Arabidopsis thaliana: one gene and its partner. The protein of the gene in region 1 interacts with the protein of each later gene in a biochemical or structural test. Each region holds a gene or a part of one and is shown on either strand. Other genes may lie near its edges.

The links. Proteins that work in one complex are often made in the same cells at the same time.
Region 2: the proteins of SAE1A (region 1) and SCE1 form a complex in vitro, tested with the Arabidopsis thaliana proteins (one study listed by BioGRID).

What each region holds. Positions count from the first base shown.
Region 1 is NC_003075.7:12,821,673-12,829,608, forward strand, and holds SAE1A (SUMO-activating enzyme 1A), read left to right. Parts: upstream 1-1,823; 5' UTR 1,824-1,978; coding exon 1,979-2,061; intron 2,062-2,585; coding exon 2,586-2,637; intron 2,638-2,743; coding exon 2,744-2,939; intron 2,940-3,016; coding exon 3,017-3,096; intron 3,097-3,189; coding exon 3,190-3,306; intron 3,307-3,478; coding exon 3,479-3,529; intron 3,530-3,615; coding exon 3,616-3,682; intron 3,683-3,805; coding exon 3,806-3,909; intron 3,910-3,988; coding exon 3,989-4,093; intron 4,094-4,185; coding exon 4,186-4,299; 3' UTR 4,300-4,537; downstream 4,538-7,936. Other genes in the region: AT4G24930 (thylakoid lumenal 17.9 kDa protein, chloroplast), read right to left, coding at 1-47, 132-201, 261-375, 449-717; AT4G24950 (uncharacterized protein), read left to right, coding at 4,610-5,083; HVA22D (HVA22 homologue D), read left to right, coding at 6,565-6,581, 6,710-7,016, 7,169-7,188, 7,284-7,347. UniProt on the Arabidopsis thaliana protein: The dimeric enzyme acts as an E1 ligase for SUMO1 and SUMO2. It mediates ATP-dependent activation of SUMO proteins and formation of a thioester with a conserved cysteine residue on SAE2. Functionally redundant with its paralog SAE1B.
Region 2 is NC_003074.8:21,427,010-21,434,328, reverse strand, and holds SCE1 (sumo conjugation enzyme 1), read left to right. Parts: upstream 1-3,930; 5' UTR 3,931-4,218; coding exon 4,219-4,287; intron 4,288-4,413; coding exon 4,414-4,497; intron 4,498-4,984; coding exon 4,985-5,137; intron 5,138-5,229; coding exon 5,230-5,343; intron 5,344-5,435; coding exon 5,436-5,498; 3' UTR 5,499-5,833; downstream 5,834-7,319. Other genes in the region: AT3G57880 (Calcium-dependent lipid-binding (CaLB domain) plant phosphoribosyltransferase family protein), read left to right, coding at 810-3,131; UVI4-LIKE (UV-B-insensitive 4-like protein), read right to left, coding at 6,508-6,894, 7,252-7,319. UniProt on the Arabidopsis thaliana protein: SUMO-conjugating enzyme that accepts the SUMO proteins from the E1 SUMO-activating heterodimer SAE1/SAE2 and catalyzes its covalent attachment to other proteins with the E3 SUMO ligases SIZ1 and MMS21.

The DNA of each region.
Region 1 (7,936 bases):
ATCTCTGCTAAATCCTCCTCCTTCTACCTCTGCCTCCACATACCTCCCTGCAAATGCAATTGTGTGTGATCTTTCCTCAAATCCTTGGTGGGAATCATTTAAAAATCCAATTGTGGTGAGAAATAATTTACCATAGGGAGTATCTTCAAGAACCACAAACTTGGGGTTCTTCTGGGTGCTCATTATTGCTTCTTTCAGTTTCTGCGTTGAACAAATAATCAGAAACGATGCTAAATTGATGAAGATAGGAGGAAATATACCTCAATGGGATCCTGTGTATCGGTTTCTGGGATCGTCAATGGAAAAGAGAAGGAAGATGAGGTTGGATTCGTCGATACACATCCTGGGTTCGTGGAAGGGCAAGGCCTAATTTTGCTACAAAAAAAAGAGAGTAATAAAGATTAGCTTTGTTTAGAGAGCAGAAATCAGAGTGAGAAGAGGAACAAACCCATTGAGAAGACCGGTCTGGACGAACTTGGATTGGGTGAAAGGAGTGGTGAGTGGCTGAGAAGAGGAGAGAGAAGGAATGGCTAAGGCAGGGGAAAAGGAAGTTAGAGAGATAGCAAGAGCAAAAGAGATTAGTTTTGGTAAAAGAGAGATTGGAGGAGAAGTAGAAGAGAGTTCTTGTTCTTGTTTTGGGCTTTGCAATGAGCACAACAACTTGGTGCTTCTCGGCCGTGGCGGGAGGATGAGTTGCAAACTGGCGACCAAACTCATGTTTGTAGTTTATGGTTACTCTCTTCTCCTCCAAATATTATTAATATATAAGTGTCTCAAAACGCTTTACTGAAATGAAAATTAATTAAAATTGTTTTTTTTTTTTATTGTATGTTTGAACTTTTAAATTTTAGTTGACTACAAATTCCATAATGTCCCGATATAAAATGTGAGATGTGTTCTTGTTTGACCACAATAAAAACACTATGAGATTGGTAGAAAATTATCAAGAAATAGAGTTTCACCCAATACCAATAGCGTTTCACCTAGTTTTCATCATCCTATTACAAAAATTCGATGGTAAATTACAAGCGGCAAAGTTCAATGTAACTAATGATACACCGATACACGTAACATGTTCATTGAATGTTTCATTAAACCAACAAAAAACTATTGACTCATGCCACTAGAAAAATTACCACCGAATTAAATTAAAGAGAGCGAGAGGCAAATGAAACGATAGAAAATAAGACGTTCAATGGTCTTGAGAGAATTAAATATGTTTCTTTATATTCACCAGTGTTTGAACATTTGCAGAATTGTGCAGAGAAAGGACTAAAGGAGAATGAACAACATTTTATTGGACAAGGAAACTCTATTTTCACGATTTCGCAGGTATGTCTTTTTATAATATTACTTATTTCATAATATTTTGATATAGATGATTACTCAAACAAAAGAGGTGAAAACTCTTGTAAATTTTCAGTATTTAACCTGCAAAACAGATACTACTTTTTTACTTGATTTATCAAACCAAAGTTAAGACTTACAAAAGCACCGGTGACAATCCGACATTGTTGCCATGCAAAGACTCAAACCAATTTGACCGTCGACGCTTTTTTAGTATTTCAAAAATATTTTTATCAATTCATGAATTATGATTATTGCCAAACATCGATTCAGTGGAGACTAGGTTTATGAATTATGACCGTAGAACATATGAAAACTGTGTAAAACTATTGTATAATTTATGTATTAAATTTTGTATTAATCAACTGATATGCGGTCGGACCGGATCCAACCGGCGATCGAAACATACCATTTATATTTTTTCTTTTTCTATTTTACTAGAAATAAAATAAATAGAAACCTCCGTTGCTTTTTTGGCAAACACTGTGAGAGAGTTGACCAAAATCGACCCAGTGGGAGGACTAGGTTTATCGAAAGCTCCAGTTTTCATAGATAAATCCAGTAAAATTATACACGCAAATTCTAGTTTCTTAGAGCAAAGCTTTGTTGAATTGATAGCTTGAATTTGGGAATGGACGGAGAAGAGCTTACCGAGCAGGAGACTGCCTTGTACGACCGCCAGATTAGGGTTTGGGGCGCTAATGCTCAGAGAAGGTTACTTTCTCATCCCCTTGTTCTTTTCAACACTCAATCTTGTTTTCACTTTTCTAAATTTAAGTGCTTTTAAGCTGCATCATCTCAATTATGATTTGAGTCGGCTTTGAGTACTAAACTCTTACTATTTGGCCATTTTAGGAGAATGCTTAATGGTCCCTTCTTAAATGCGGATTTAGATCATTAAAATTGTATTTTTTTTTGCTTCTCCTCCATTCGATTACTTTCTCTTGGCTTCAGTTTTGGTTTTTATTTGTTTGTCTTTGTCTTAAGAGAATTTTAGTTAATACCTATTATTGGTTTAGCGTTTGGATTCTGCTTCTAGACTAGTGCATTCCTAATTATGAGCTCCCTTAGGTTGTTCTGAGATGAGAGTTTTGTTTTTTAACTATTAAGATTGATGTATTCATTCATATTTTGCTTTTTGCTGAAGCTTATTTTATTGATACACTACACTACCATGTAATTACTCTGTAAGCTTGGCACGATTTGATATAGTGTGAGGTTGGTGTTTTGCCTTGCAGATTGACCAAAGCTCATATCTTGGTATCTGGAATTAAGGGGACTGTTGCTGAGGTAGCTGTAACTCTATAATTCATGCTGAGATGTCATGCTTTTCAATTAGTTTAATCTAATGGTATCTTACTGCATTTCCTGGCTTTGTTTCCATTTGGTGGGTTAGTTTTGCAAGAACATTGTGCTGGCAGGAGTTGGTTCAGTGACTTTAATGGATGATCGTTTAGCAAACATGGAGGCCTTGAACGCTAACTTTTTGATTCCGCCTGATGAAAATGTTTACAGTGGCAAAACTGTGGCTGAGATTTGTAGTGATTCACTCAAGGATTTCAACCCTATGGTCCGTGTTTCCGTAGAGAAAGGTTTCCCTCTAATACCTCTCCGTTAATGTTTTAAAAACATACCGACTATTATCTGATCAATTTTTCAAATCTTTCAGGTGATTTGTCAATGCTTGGCACTGATTTTTTTGAGCAGTTTGATGTCGTAGTTATAGGCTATGGTTCTCGTGCTACCAAAGTATTTATACCACCTTTTACATATTTACCACTTGCTTTCATCTTTAGTTGCTCCATACATCTCTTCATGACGTTGTCTGTTTATTTTTTGCAGAAATATGTCAATGAAAAATGTCGGAAGTTAAAGAAACGTGTCGCATTCTATACAGTCGATTGTAGAGACTCATGTGGTGAAATCTTTGTGGACCTCCAAGATTACAAGTACACAAAGGTACTTGCATGATTTGTTGTTGCATTTCTTCTGTTGATTATGTGCTGTTTTGACATTTCATCTGGCTTATTTTTAAATTTCTATAATTCCATTGAACATTTAAACTTCATTAACAACTTCTAATTTGCACAATGTCCTTTGTATTGTTTTCCTGATAATTTTCTTTCCACAGAAAAAGCTTGAAGAGATGGTGGAATGCGAACTAAATTTTCCAAGTTTTCAGGTACAATTTAACACTAGTTCTCGCTACTAATAATCCTTACATCTGCATAGGATTTTGTGATAAATTAGATTTGTTTATTGCCACAGGAAGCTATATCGGTACCATGGAAACCGATTCCTCGGAGAACAGCAAAGCTCTACTTTGCTATGAGAGGTAGTTACTAGTTACTACAGCTGATTTCTTTATTACTTTCCACAAATGAAAATTGAGATCCCAAGGCAGATACATACAACAAAAATTCTTCACTAATCTTTGGCATTCTCATGAAATTTTCAGTAATAGAAGTGTTTGAAGAGAGTGAAGGGCGTAAACATGGAGAATGTTCGCTACTCGATCTTGCCAGAGTCTTGGAAATCAAAAAGCAACTCTGTGAGGCAAACGTAAGTGTGTTTAGTTGTTTTATCATTATTTAGAAATGTCACTGCCAGGTTCACTGAATAACTGAATATTGTCTCTCAGTCTGTGAGCGAGAGCCATATACCAGATATTCTCTTGGAGAGACTTATCACTGGTACTACTGAATTCCCGCCAGTTTGTGCCATTGTGGGAGGAATATTAGCACAGGTTCTCTCTCTCTCACTTTCACTCTCTTATCGCATTCGAATCTTCTCACTAGAAACTTGTAATTTGACAAGAAAGATTTTTTGATGTGGCAGGAGGTGATCAAAGCAGTATCAGGCAAAGGAGACCCGTTGAAAAACTTCTTCTACTATGATGGTGAAGATGGGAAAGGTGTGATGGAAGACATTTCCGACTCTTTTACCTCTTAAACAACCAGTGGGCCTTGATTTAGTTTAAACTCTATAATCTCTGAGATTCCATGTATATCTCAATCGTTTGTTTTTTGCCTTCACATTATGAACAAATTTAATGCAGAATTTAGTGGAGGATCAGTTGTGATTTTCCTTCGGTAAAATCATTTTCAGTTATTGACATTTGAATTGTTCAATTTCAAATTTCAAATATTATAATTCAATTCAAAGACTAGCTAAGTTTTTAAAAGTAATTAGTGAGAGATCTCACAGTGATATAAACCACATTCATTTTAATTCATAGCAAAGTAAATGGTAAGAAATGAAAATGGAAGAAAGAGAGGAGAGTAGTTCACACGAACATCTGAAGGAGAAGTTGAGAGAGCTTGAGGAGGAATGGACAGCCATGAAAACAGGTAAAAACTCATCTGCGGTTTCATGGATTACCGTGGAAGATGCTCTTGAGTATGTCGAAAACTCTCCCAGAAACCTAATGCTCTCTCTCCAACACAAACCAAAGGCAGAGATGATACAAGAAATATCGCCATTAAGGAGAAAACTCTTTCACGACTCTGATGATGATGATCAAACTAAGAAGACGACATTGCTTTCTCATTCATCTTGTTGGTCTTCGAATGTGACGAGTTCGAGTGATACCACGAAAGCAAAGAAGAAGACAACGATTAGAAGATTTGTTTCTGTTACAATGGTGCTGCTTTTGTCATGGGTTTTAGTTGTGTTGATGAACCACTTTGATCATCTCTCCATGAATACACAAATCATTACTTTGGTTCCTACTTGATATTTTTATTTATTTTGGTTTGAGAATGTTCATCAATCTCAATAAATAAAAAAAGTTTAGTTTTGTATTATTACCTCTCGCCTTCTCTTTTAATTCATTGAACCTCTTCAACTTTGGCTGTAACTATGTTGGTTAAAACAGTATAAGTAATGTATGTATTTATGGTTTTAGGAAAATCTTACAAAATAATACTCTATCATTGGATGAAGAAGCAAAAACTACACCCCTCTACATCTTTTCTATTCATAAACTTTTTTGGGGAAAGAACTACATTGGTGGTGATTAGGTGCATCGGTGACACTAATGTTGAAAATATGTTTTGTGTAAAATTAGTATGGTTAAAGCTAATCATTTAGTTGAGCAAAAAAAGATGCTAATCATTTAAATAGAAAATGGACTCAAACAAAAGAAGGCCACACATTCAATTGTTACATCTTTATTGGGTTTTCATTTTTGGAAGCTATTTTTATGAATTTGCAGTGTTTTGTTGCCCAAAAGAAAAAAAGCATAATTCCAAGTATATCTTTCATTTTGAATCCATCAGTCATATGTTTTACTTGAATCAACTATTTGTTGGGTTTTACGAAGTTACTTGTTAAGAAGATTCAAAATATATATAATTAGACTATCAAAGGAACAAAAGAATGTAATTGGGTCATAACTTTTTCCGAAGCTTACGTGACTTGGGAGAAAATCAAACCCATTAGTTTCACCCTTAATCAAACTAATCACAAATTTTGAACTTTGCAAAGAAGGTAAAATAATAATCAGCAAAAAGATTAATAAAATGACAAAAGTATCTCTTTAAAAGATTAATAAAGAAATAAAGAAATGACATAAGCTCTCACCGACCGACGTCTTGTCTTTTTTATTCTTAAGGTCGGTGCCATGTCGACGCCTTCAAGCTTAGAATCTCGCCACGTGTGGGATAAACTAACCGAACCCAATCGAACCAGACAGACCAAAGACAGACCAGACCGGACTAGTTGTATGTCGGCATCAGCGTTCTAGTACGACGTTAATTAAAAAAATAAAAATAAAATATTATTTATGATATTCCACCAATAAGAGCCAATGAAAAGTGTGTGAACCAACCAACTTCTGTAGCAAACCGTACCATTTCTCTCTTAGATACCTTTACCTTCCTTCTATAAATTAGGTTCTTCCTTTCACATTTCTTTGTCTTCTTCTTCTACATAAAATTGATTCGCCTCGAAATTTACACAGACTTGTCGCTCTCTCTTTCTCTCTTATTTCACAGAGCCCCTAAACATTTCCAAAAATCTTGCAAAGGAAGAAAAACAATGGACAAATTTTGGACTTTCCTCACTGCTCTTCATTCAGGCGCTGGGTAATTATTCTTAATCTTAATTTTCCTTCCATTATGTTTCCAAAATTAGTTACTTTTTGATTTCCTCTGTTTCGATTTCTAATCCAAACCGTAATCGATTTGTTGGTAATGTATATGCAGGCCTATCGTGATGTTACTTTATCCATTGTAAGTTTCTCTCTTGTTAAACCCTTTAACAAAAGAAAAAGTTTCTTTCTGGTTCGATCTCTCTACTTTTTGTTGAAGATTAAAAACAAAAATCTGTGAATATTTACTAATTATGTTTTTGATTACAGGTACGCATCGGTGATAGCAATGGAGAGCACAACAAAAGTGGACGATGAACAGTGGCTTGCGTATTGGATAATATATTCGTTCCTCTCACTCACGGAACTGATTCTGCAATCGCTTATTGAGTGGATTCCGATTTGGTATACGGTGAAACTTGTGTTCGTGGCTTGGCTAGTTCTTCCTCAGTTTCAAGGCGCAGCTTTTATCTACAACCGTGTTGTTAGAGAACAGTTCAAGAAACACGGCGTCCTCCGCTCCACCCACTCCAAGCCCACCAAGCCCAACATCCTCCACTCCATTTTCCCCCACCGGGTAAATTTTTTATCTTTTTGGTTTTGAGATTCATAAAGCAAAAAAAAAAAGTAAAAGTAACCATTAGTTTTAGTATTCTTTGGTGGGTCAAAGAACGAATCTTTGTTTATAAAGATTAATAATGCATTGAATATAGTCCTAGGAAACGTAAGAGTGTGCCTAATTCTCTAACGTAGCGACCATGAGCGTATAACAAGTGTTTTGTATACTTTTGTTAATTCTTTAATTCGTTTTTAAATTAATTGTGAATTTTAAAATGTGATATAGGAGGGACACGAGGCTCACAGTCACTGAATCAGAAGGGTGGAGCAGACAGAAGAAGCCTGACTAGTATTATTGTAATGGTCTTGGTGGTGGTCCCATCATGTCCCTGTCTAATCTACTTTTTACTTTATTTTTATTTATCACAAAAAATGGGTTTAGGAATGTTGATGATGATGACTGATGAGGTGTGTAATCGTTTTTAAATTAGAAAATGGCTTCTTCTGCTTGTATGATTGTATCGCTAATCTTCCACGCGTATTTCTTTAATGTCAACGCTAATAATTTCCAATTGTGTCCCTTCTTGAACTTATCATACATATTTTGATGACGCAAATATCTCACCGAATCAAACCCATAACAGTATATCCCTTTTTTTGGGGCCTAAAACCAAAATTGAAGTGAGGCTTACAGAGTTAGAACGCAATTTAAACCAGTGACTAATGTTTTGATTGGTTCTCCCTCTGCCACCTGCAAACGCTGCGTTTGCGGGTGGTAGCGGTTGTTAGCGTTTGACACTAATCATAGAAACCGCTAGATACCGTTTTGGACCGCTTGAAATCGCCAGATTTCAAAAGCTTCTTCCCGTAAGCGTTTGCGGTTGCGGGCGGTAGCGGTTAGGTTAATTTTTTTTTTTAATTAATTAAAATAATTATATC
Region 2 (7,319 bases), on another chromosome or scaffold:
GAGACTGTCTTAATCGTTTCCGGGTCTCTTATTCTGATCCATTCTTCTCTCAAGATCTAAGGTTTGTCTTCTTTACCTTCCCTTTTTTTTTTTAATCTTCGTCTAACTGCTATTCCATGTATTTTGAGAATTTTATTGAGTAGAGGGTTCTCTTCGTTGTAACTTACTCTAATGGCTATTTTCTCCAACTCGCATGCTCTCTGCTTCTTCTTCTTTTTTTCCCTTTCCATGGTTTTATTTTCTCTCTGTCGTTTTCTGTGTTTGGTGTTGTCTCTCATTGAAATCGAGAAACAAAAGAAGGAAATTTGGGTTTTAAAATCTTCACCCACAGCGTAATTCGCGTTGCTTCATTGTCTTTTTGGTAGTTCTGTTTCCGAGAAGAAGAAAAAAGTATGTTTTCTCTCGATGAAGTTGCTTCATGAATATGTTTTTTTTTTTTTTGGATTCATGAATTTGTGCCGTTAGATTCTGCCTTGGAGATACTAACGAGGTTTTTTTTTGTTTAAGATCTAGAAAAAAAATATACGATGCTTTATTCGAGATTCTTTTTCAACTTTATTATTTCTCTGCATTTTCATCACCTACCCAAAACCTGAGTTTTTTCACTTAGCTTTCTTTGAAATGGTTGTGTTCTCTCAGATTTACTGATTTTGAAGTGGAGAAGAAATTAGTTGTCTCGACAAACCCCACTAGTAAGTTTTTTAACTCTTTTTTAAGCTAATATTGAATATGAATGTTTAATAATCGTTTTTGTGGTTTTGGAACTGTGTAGGAAACTTTGTTTAGTGTGTCTTCTTAAAGCCTGCAAGATGCAGAGACCACCTCCTGAAGATTTCTCCTTGAAGGAGACGAGACCTCATCTAGGTGGAGGAAAACTCTCTGGAGATAAGCTTACCAGTACTTATGACCTTGTTGAGCAAATGCAGTATCTCTATGTTCGTGTGGTTAAGGCAAAGGAGTTACCTGGCAAGGATATGACTGGTAGTTGTGACCCTTATGTTGAGGTTAAGCTTGGAAACTACAAAGGCACCACTAGGCATTTCGAGAAGAAATCTAATCCTGAGTGGAACCAAGTTTTCGCCTTTTCTAAAGATAGGATTCAAGCTTCTTTCCTTGAAGCTACTGTCAAGGACAAGGATTTTGTCAAAGATGATTTGATTGGTCGGGTTGTCTTTGATTTGAATGAGGTACCTAAGAGAGTTCCTCCTGATAGTCCCTTGGCTCCGCAATGGTATAGGCTCGAGGATAGGAAAGGTGATAAAGTCAAGGGAGAGCTTATGTTGGCTGTTTGGTTTGGTACTCAAGCTGATGAAGCTTTCCCTGAAGCTTGGCACTCTGATGCTGCAACTGTTAGTGGTACTGATGCTCTTGCCAACATCCGTTCCAAGGTTTATCTTTCTCCTAAGCTTTGGTACCTCAGGGTTAATGTAATTGAAGCTCAAGATTTGATACCAACTGATAAGCAAAGATATCCCGAGGTTTATGTGAAGGCTATAGTGGGAAACCAGGCGTTGAGGACTAGAGTATCGCAGAGCAGGACTATTAATCCCATGTGGAATGAGGATTTGATGTTTGTCGCAGCAGAGCCATTTGAGGAACCTTTGATCCTCAGCGTGGAAGATAGAGTTGCTCCAAACAAAGATGAAGTCTTGGGGAGATGTGCGATCCCGTTGCAGTATTTGGACAGAAGATTTGACCATAAACCGGTGAACAGCAGGTGGTACAATCTCGAGAAGCATATTATGGTCGATGGAGAGAAGAAGGAGACCAAATTCGCTAGCAGGATTCACATGAGAATATGTTTGGAAGGAGGGTATCACGTTCTCGATGAGTCTACGCATTACAGCAGTGATCTTAGACCAACAGCGAAGCAACTATGGAAGCCTAATATCGGTGTACTGGAGTTGGGGATACTGAATGCTACAGGTCTGATGCCTATGAAAACCAAAGACGGCCGGGGAACCACAGATGCATATTGTGTGGCGAAGTACGGACAGAAATGGATTCGAACTCGGACAATCATTGACAGCTTTACACCAAGATGGAATGAGCAATATACTTGGGAGGTTTTTGATCCGTGCACCGTTGTTACTGTTGGAGTTTTTGATAACTGCCATCTCCATGGAGGTGAGAAGATTGGAGGAGCAAAAGATTCAAGAATCGGGAAGGTAAGAATCAGGCTTTCTACTCTCGAGACTGATCGAGTTTATACACATTCATACCCTCTTTTGGTGCTCCATCCTAACGGAGTCAAGAAAATGGGAGAAATTCACTTAGCTGTGAGATTCACTTGCTCTTCATTGCTCAACATGATGTATATGTACTCACAGCCTCTCTTACCGAAGATGCATTATATCCATCCACTGACGGTTAGCCAGCTTGATAACTTGAGGCATCAAGCGACTCAGATTGTATCGATGAGGCTGACCCGAGCAGAACCACCTCTAAGGAAAGAAGTAGTTGAGTATATGCTTGATGTGGGTTCTCACATGTGGAGTATGCGGAGAAGCAAAGCAAACTTTTTCAGGATTATGGGAGTTTTGAGTGGGTTAATCGCAGTAGGAAAATGGTTTGAACAAATCTGCAACTGGAAGAATCCAATCACAACAGTCTTGATCCATCTCTTGTTCATCATCCTTGTGCTCTATCCCGAACTAATCTTGCCCACCATCTTCCTCTACCTCTTCCTCATCGGTATCTGGTACTACCGTTGGAGACCGAGGCATCCTCCTCACATGGACACACGTCTCTCTCACGCTGACTCAGCCCACCCCGACGAGCTAGATGAAGAGTTCGACACTTTTCCTACTTCCCGACCATCTGACATAGTCAGGATGAGGTATGACAGGTTGAGGAGTATTGCTGGTAGGATTCAGACAGTGGTAGGTGATCTAGCAACTCAAGGAGAAAGGCTTCAGTCTCTGCTAAGCTGGCGTGATCCGCGTGCAACAGCGCTCTTCGTCTTGTTCTGCTTGATTGCCGCAGTCATTCTCTATGTGACACCTTTCCAGGTTGTGGCTCTTTGTATTGGAATCTATGCTCTGAGACATCCGAGGTTCAGATACAAACTACCATCCGTTCCTCTCAATTTCTTCAGAAGGCTTCCTGCAAGAACTGATTGCATGCTCTGACCTGCAAAAACTGCTTCCAATACCGAAGAAAACTTCTATAAGACTTGTAGTTTGTTCTTGTTAAAAATATCATGATGACTCTTTTTAGTTTGTTCATTGTTAAAAATGTCATGATGACTCTTTTCTTGGTGATGGTGATGATGTATCCGTCTGTCTTTTAACATTATTAAGACTTTTGTTTGAAAGTAGTAAAGAAGTATCTTGTGTGGTTTTGATGTTCTTGTCACTGGTTAGTAAGTCATAATCTATGCCTCTCTGGTTTTTGTGTTTTATCACTGGAGCTTTAGGAGTTTGGTGCCATTGGGTTGGTTGCTGTTGAGATTAGAGGTTGTCACAGTTTGGTCTAATGGTCAAATACAAGTTTCAAGAAAAAACCATTTTTCTAATACATCCAAAGTTGGTTATAACCAAAAAAACTATCATATTGGGAATATATGTTCGCTAAATAACATTCTTACACAAAAATTCATTGAAAGCTTTGATATTTTATTTTTTTTCCGACCATTCTGTTTGACAAATGTTTGCCAGGTGAGATACTTTTATTCTAGAAAGACCAACCATTAAGAAGAAGAGGGGAATAATTAAAGCAAGCTTAAGAGTTAAGAACACAAAGTAAATGGGCCCAGATATGGTAATGGGCCACGTGACAAATGGGATGATACGTTATGGCAGAGAAAGAATCTTTTGGTAGCTTTTTTGGGTATCATCGCGTAGGTTTCACGCCACATTTATCCATTGACTTTTTCATTACGTCTTTTCATTTATTTTATGATATAGTAGATAATAATTATACCTGGTTAAAATTTAATAATTGACCGGTCAATAACCATTAAAGTGGAGGAAGTAGGACGAAAGGACATTTATTCGCCGCGAAATCTGGACCGTACGATACTCCGATTACCCTTCTAAAGCTTTAACATAGGGGTACATCTGTAACTTCACATTCCATCTTCCCCCAATCTCCTATTTGTGTCTTCTTCGAGTTTATATATAGAGAGATAGAGATTGGAGAGCGAGCGAGACAAATCAGAAGAGAGAGATTTAGATATTGTAGAGTGAGATTCTAAAGAGAGAGAGAGAGAGAGATATGGCTAGTGGAATCGCTCGTGGTCGTTTAGCTGAAGAGAGGAAATCGTGGAGGAAGAATCATCCTCATGTAAGTGATTTCGTGTCTTCTATTTCTCCAAATTCGTGATTTTGATTTATGGGTTTTGGGTTTCTGTTGATTGTTCATGGTCTCTGATTACTGATTGGGTTTCTTCTTGTTGATGGTGAAATTTAGGGTTTTGTGGCAAAGCCGGAGACGGGGCAGGATGGAACTGTGAATCTAATGGTGTGGCATTGCACTATACCTGGTAAAGCTGGGGTAAGTATCAATCGTGAAATTAGGTTTCTTCAGTTTTCTTATTCCTCTGCTTGTTTTCTTCTGGTTTGTATTAGTAGCAACAAAAAAGAGATTGAAATTAGGGTTTATTGATTTGGGCTAAAGTCTTTGTTTTTATCATCTTCTGATTCTTAGTTCTTCAAAGTTTTAAGCTTCACCAGTCTCTTCCCTTCTTTTTCTTTGTGATTCTGTTTGATGATTCTCTCATATTTGCTTACACATAGAGCCGTGGAAGATTATCTAATATGAATGTTAGTGGGAAGAGTAGCTGTGTATCTATCTCCTTGTTTATCTTGTATGATGTTTTTTTATTGGTGCATATGATTTTGGTCTTGAATACGACATTGAAACTGAACTCTGCTGTGTATCTTACTTTGACATGGCTAATAAGAGTGTTACTGCAAGAGCAATTGCTAATATCAATCTTTACTGTTGTTTATAGCTAATTTTACATGTTTCTCTGCTGCAGACTGATTGGGAAGGTGGATTCTTTCCATTAACGATGCACTTCAGTGAGGATTATCCGAGCAAACCTCCGAAATGTAAATTTCCACAAGGGTTTTTCCACCCTAATGTCTATCCATCTGGAACTGTCTGTCTCTCTATCCTTAACGAGGATTATGTAAGTACTCTACTGTTTCTTTCTTTGCATTTCTCCATGAGCAAAAGCCAGCTTTATCCTCAAGCTCTCTTTTGTTATGTGTATATCCATAGGGATGGAGACCAGCCATCACCGTGAAGCAGATTCTTGTTGGTATTCAGGATTTACTTGACACACCGAATCCCGCTGACCCTGCACAGACAGATGGTTATCATCTCTTCTGTCAGGTACATTTAGAAATGAAAACTCTAAACACAATATTAGGTTTTGAAACATAGGAAGGAACTAAGTCGAGTGATTGTTGATGATTATTGTGCAGGATCCAGTTGAGTACAAGAAAAGGGTGAAGCTGCAGTCCAAGCAGTATCCTGCTCTTGTCTAAAACCTCAAAAAAGAGAACGCACCAAAACTGATGACAAGCTCTGAATATTTTCTCGTCTTGTGTCATTATGTTTAGATGTCATTGGGTGATTGAAAACTCCTCATTTTGGCACCTTAAGACACTGGAATCTATTTATTTTCGAAAAAAAACTCTTCTTTCTCTATTTAACTGTTAATATTCTTGGTACTGATTCAGTTGGTGTTGCTTCTATATAATACATAATTATGTTCTCTGGTCGTTCATGAGTGTTGTCCAAATTCTACTAAGTGAAATATGAAGTCTTCATTCCATAGAGTAACGAATCTTAGTTGTGAATCTAGAAATACATATATTTCTAACTTGAAACTACGCTTAACACTTGAAAGTCAAAATCTTACTCCTCTAAAATTTATACTCCACTGATTTTAGACTTTTGAAGTAGTATTAGTGCTTGTTAGTAAATTGTTTGCTACTTGGAACATTTTTTGTCAATGATTGAGATAGAAAGCTTGGAATATTTAACAGAACTTGGAATTTAGCTACGAAATCAAGTGTGCAGAAAGAGATAGGCAAACACCGTATGTCAACAGTTACAAAGCAATAAAACCAAACATTCAATACTTATATACAACTCAATTATTGAAAGTCAACAACAAGCCAAAATCGTCTACAAGTGATGACACTTCAGATATGAAATGTGTGAACTATTATAATCTTTCCTATGATATCATCATCAGCAGATGATTCCTGATCTATTCTATCATCAGAACAATGATTTTCCAAAACGAGTATCCTATAAAATCGTCAAAAGATGATTGACGCTTCTAATAAAATCATCAGAAAATGATACAAGTCTAAGAAACCACCGAACTTGTGAAGATATGTCATTAGAGGATGACCTGTAGATCCATCTATGATATCATAAGAAGATGATGTACTCACTGTGCAGGAACCTTTAAGCAGATATACCTCTATGGTCTCTTCTCCTAAGTAAGGATCATCGCATCTGGTCTCTTCTCCTAAGTAAAGATCATCGCATAGTCATTAAAGTCCGCACCCTCTTCTCCCGCTCTTCCCTTTTAGCTTGAGGAGTGCTCTTCAACTTCTGGATCTCCGCCATCACAATTTTCTCAACTTTGTCAATAGAATTGAGTAGCTTCTTCTCGGGTGTGATGAAGCCAGCTTCTTCCTCAGCTATCTCTTTAGTGATGTCAAGTAACATCTTTTGAACTTTAGCAGTTGATGGTGGGCAACTACGCTTGAATCCCACAGATGGTCCAGGAGTGACCATCGAGCATTTGTGTTCTCCTGACAGTGGTACTGGAGATTCAAGAACACCAACTTGTCGATGAGTTGGGATCTCAATAACTCGGCCATCGTCTCCTCCAGTCCCAGCTCCTCTTCTTCTCTCAATAGCCTGTAGTTCAAGAGTGTCAACAGAATAAATCGCCAGGCTAAGCAAGCCTTAAGGCAACAAATCTATGTGATAAAACTTATACAGATAGGCTAAGCAAGCCTGCTATGATCAATAATAAACAGAAACGCTTTAACAAACCAAACCTATCAGTAGCAGATTCCTAATTCAGCTCAAAAGAAGGATTACAAAAACCAATGGGGAAACTTAGACTCAGAGAAACCATTTTCCATGTGCTACACCACAAACAAGAGAGATCCCAAACATTTAACCAAGCTGCAAAGCAAAACCCATGCCAGACCAAAACTGATTATACAAAGAAGAATCAACAGGAAAACACAAAAGAGCTTGTCAATTTACCCGCACAATATGAGTTATGTCGCGTAGAGGTGTTCTTGGATACCAAGAAGGCAACAAACCACCACCTC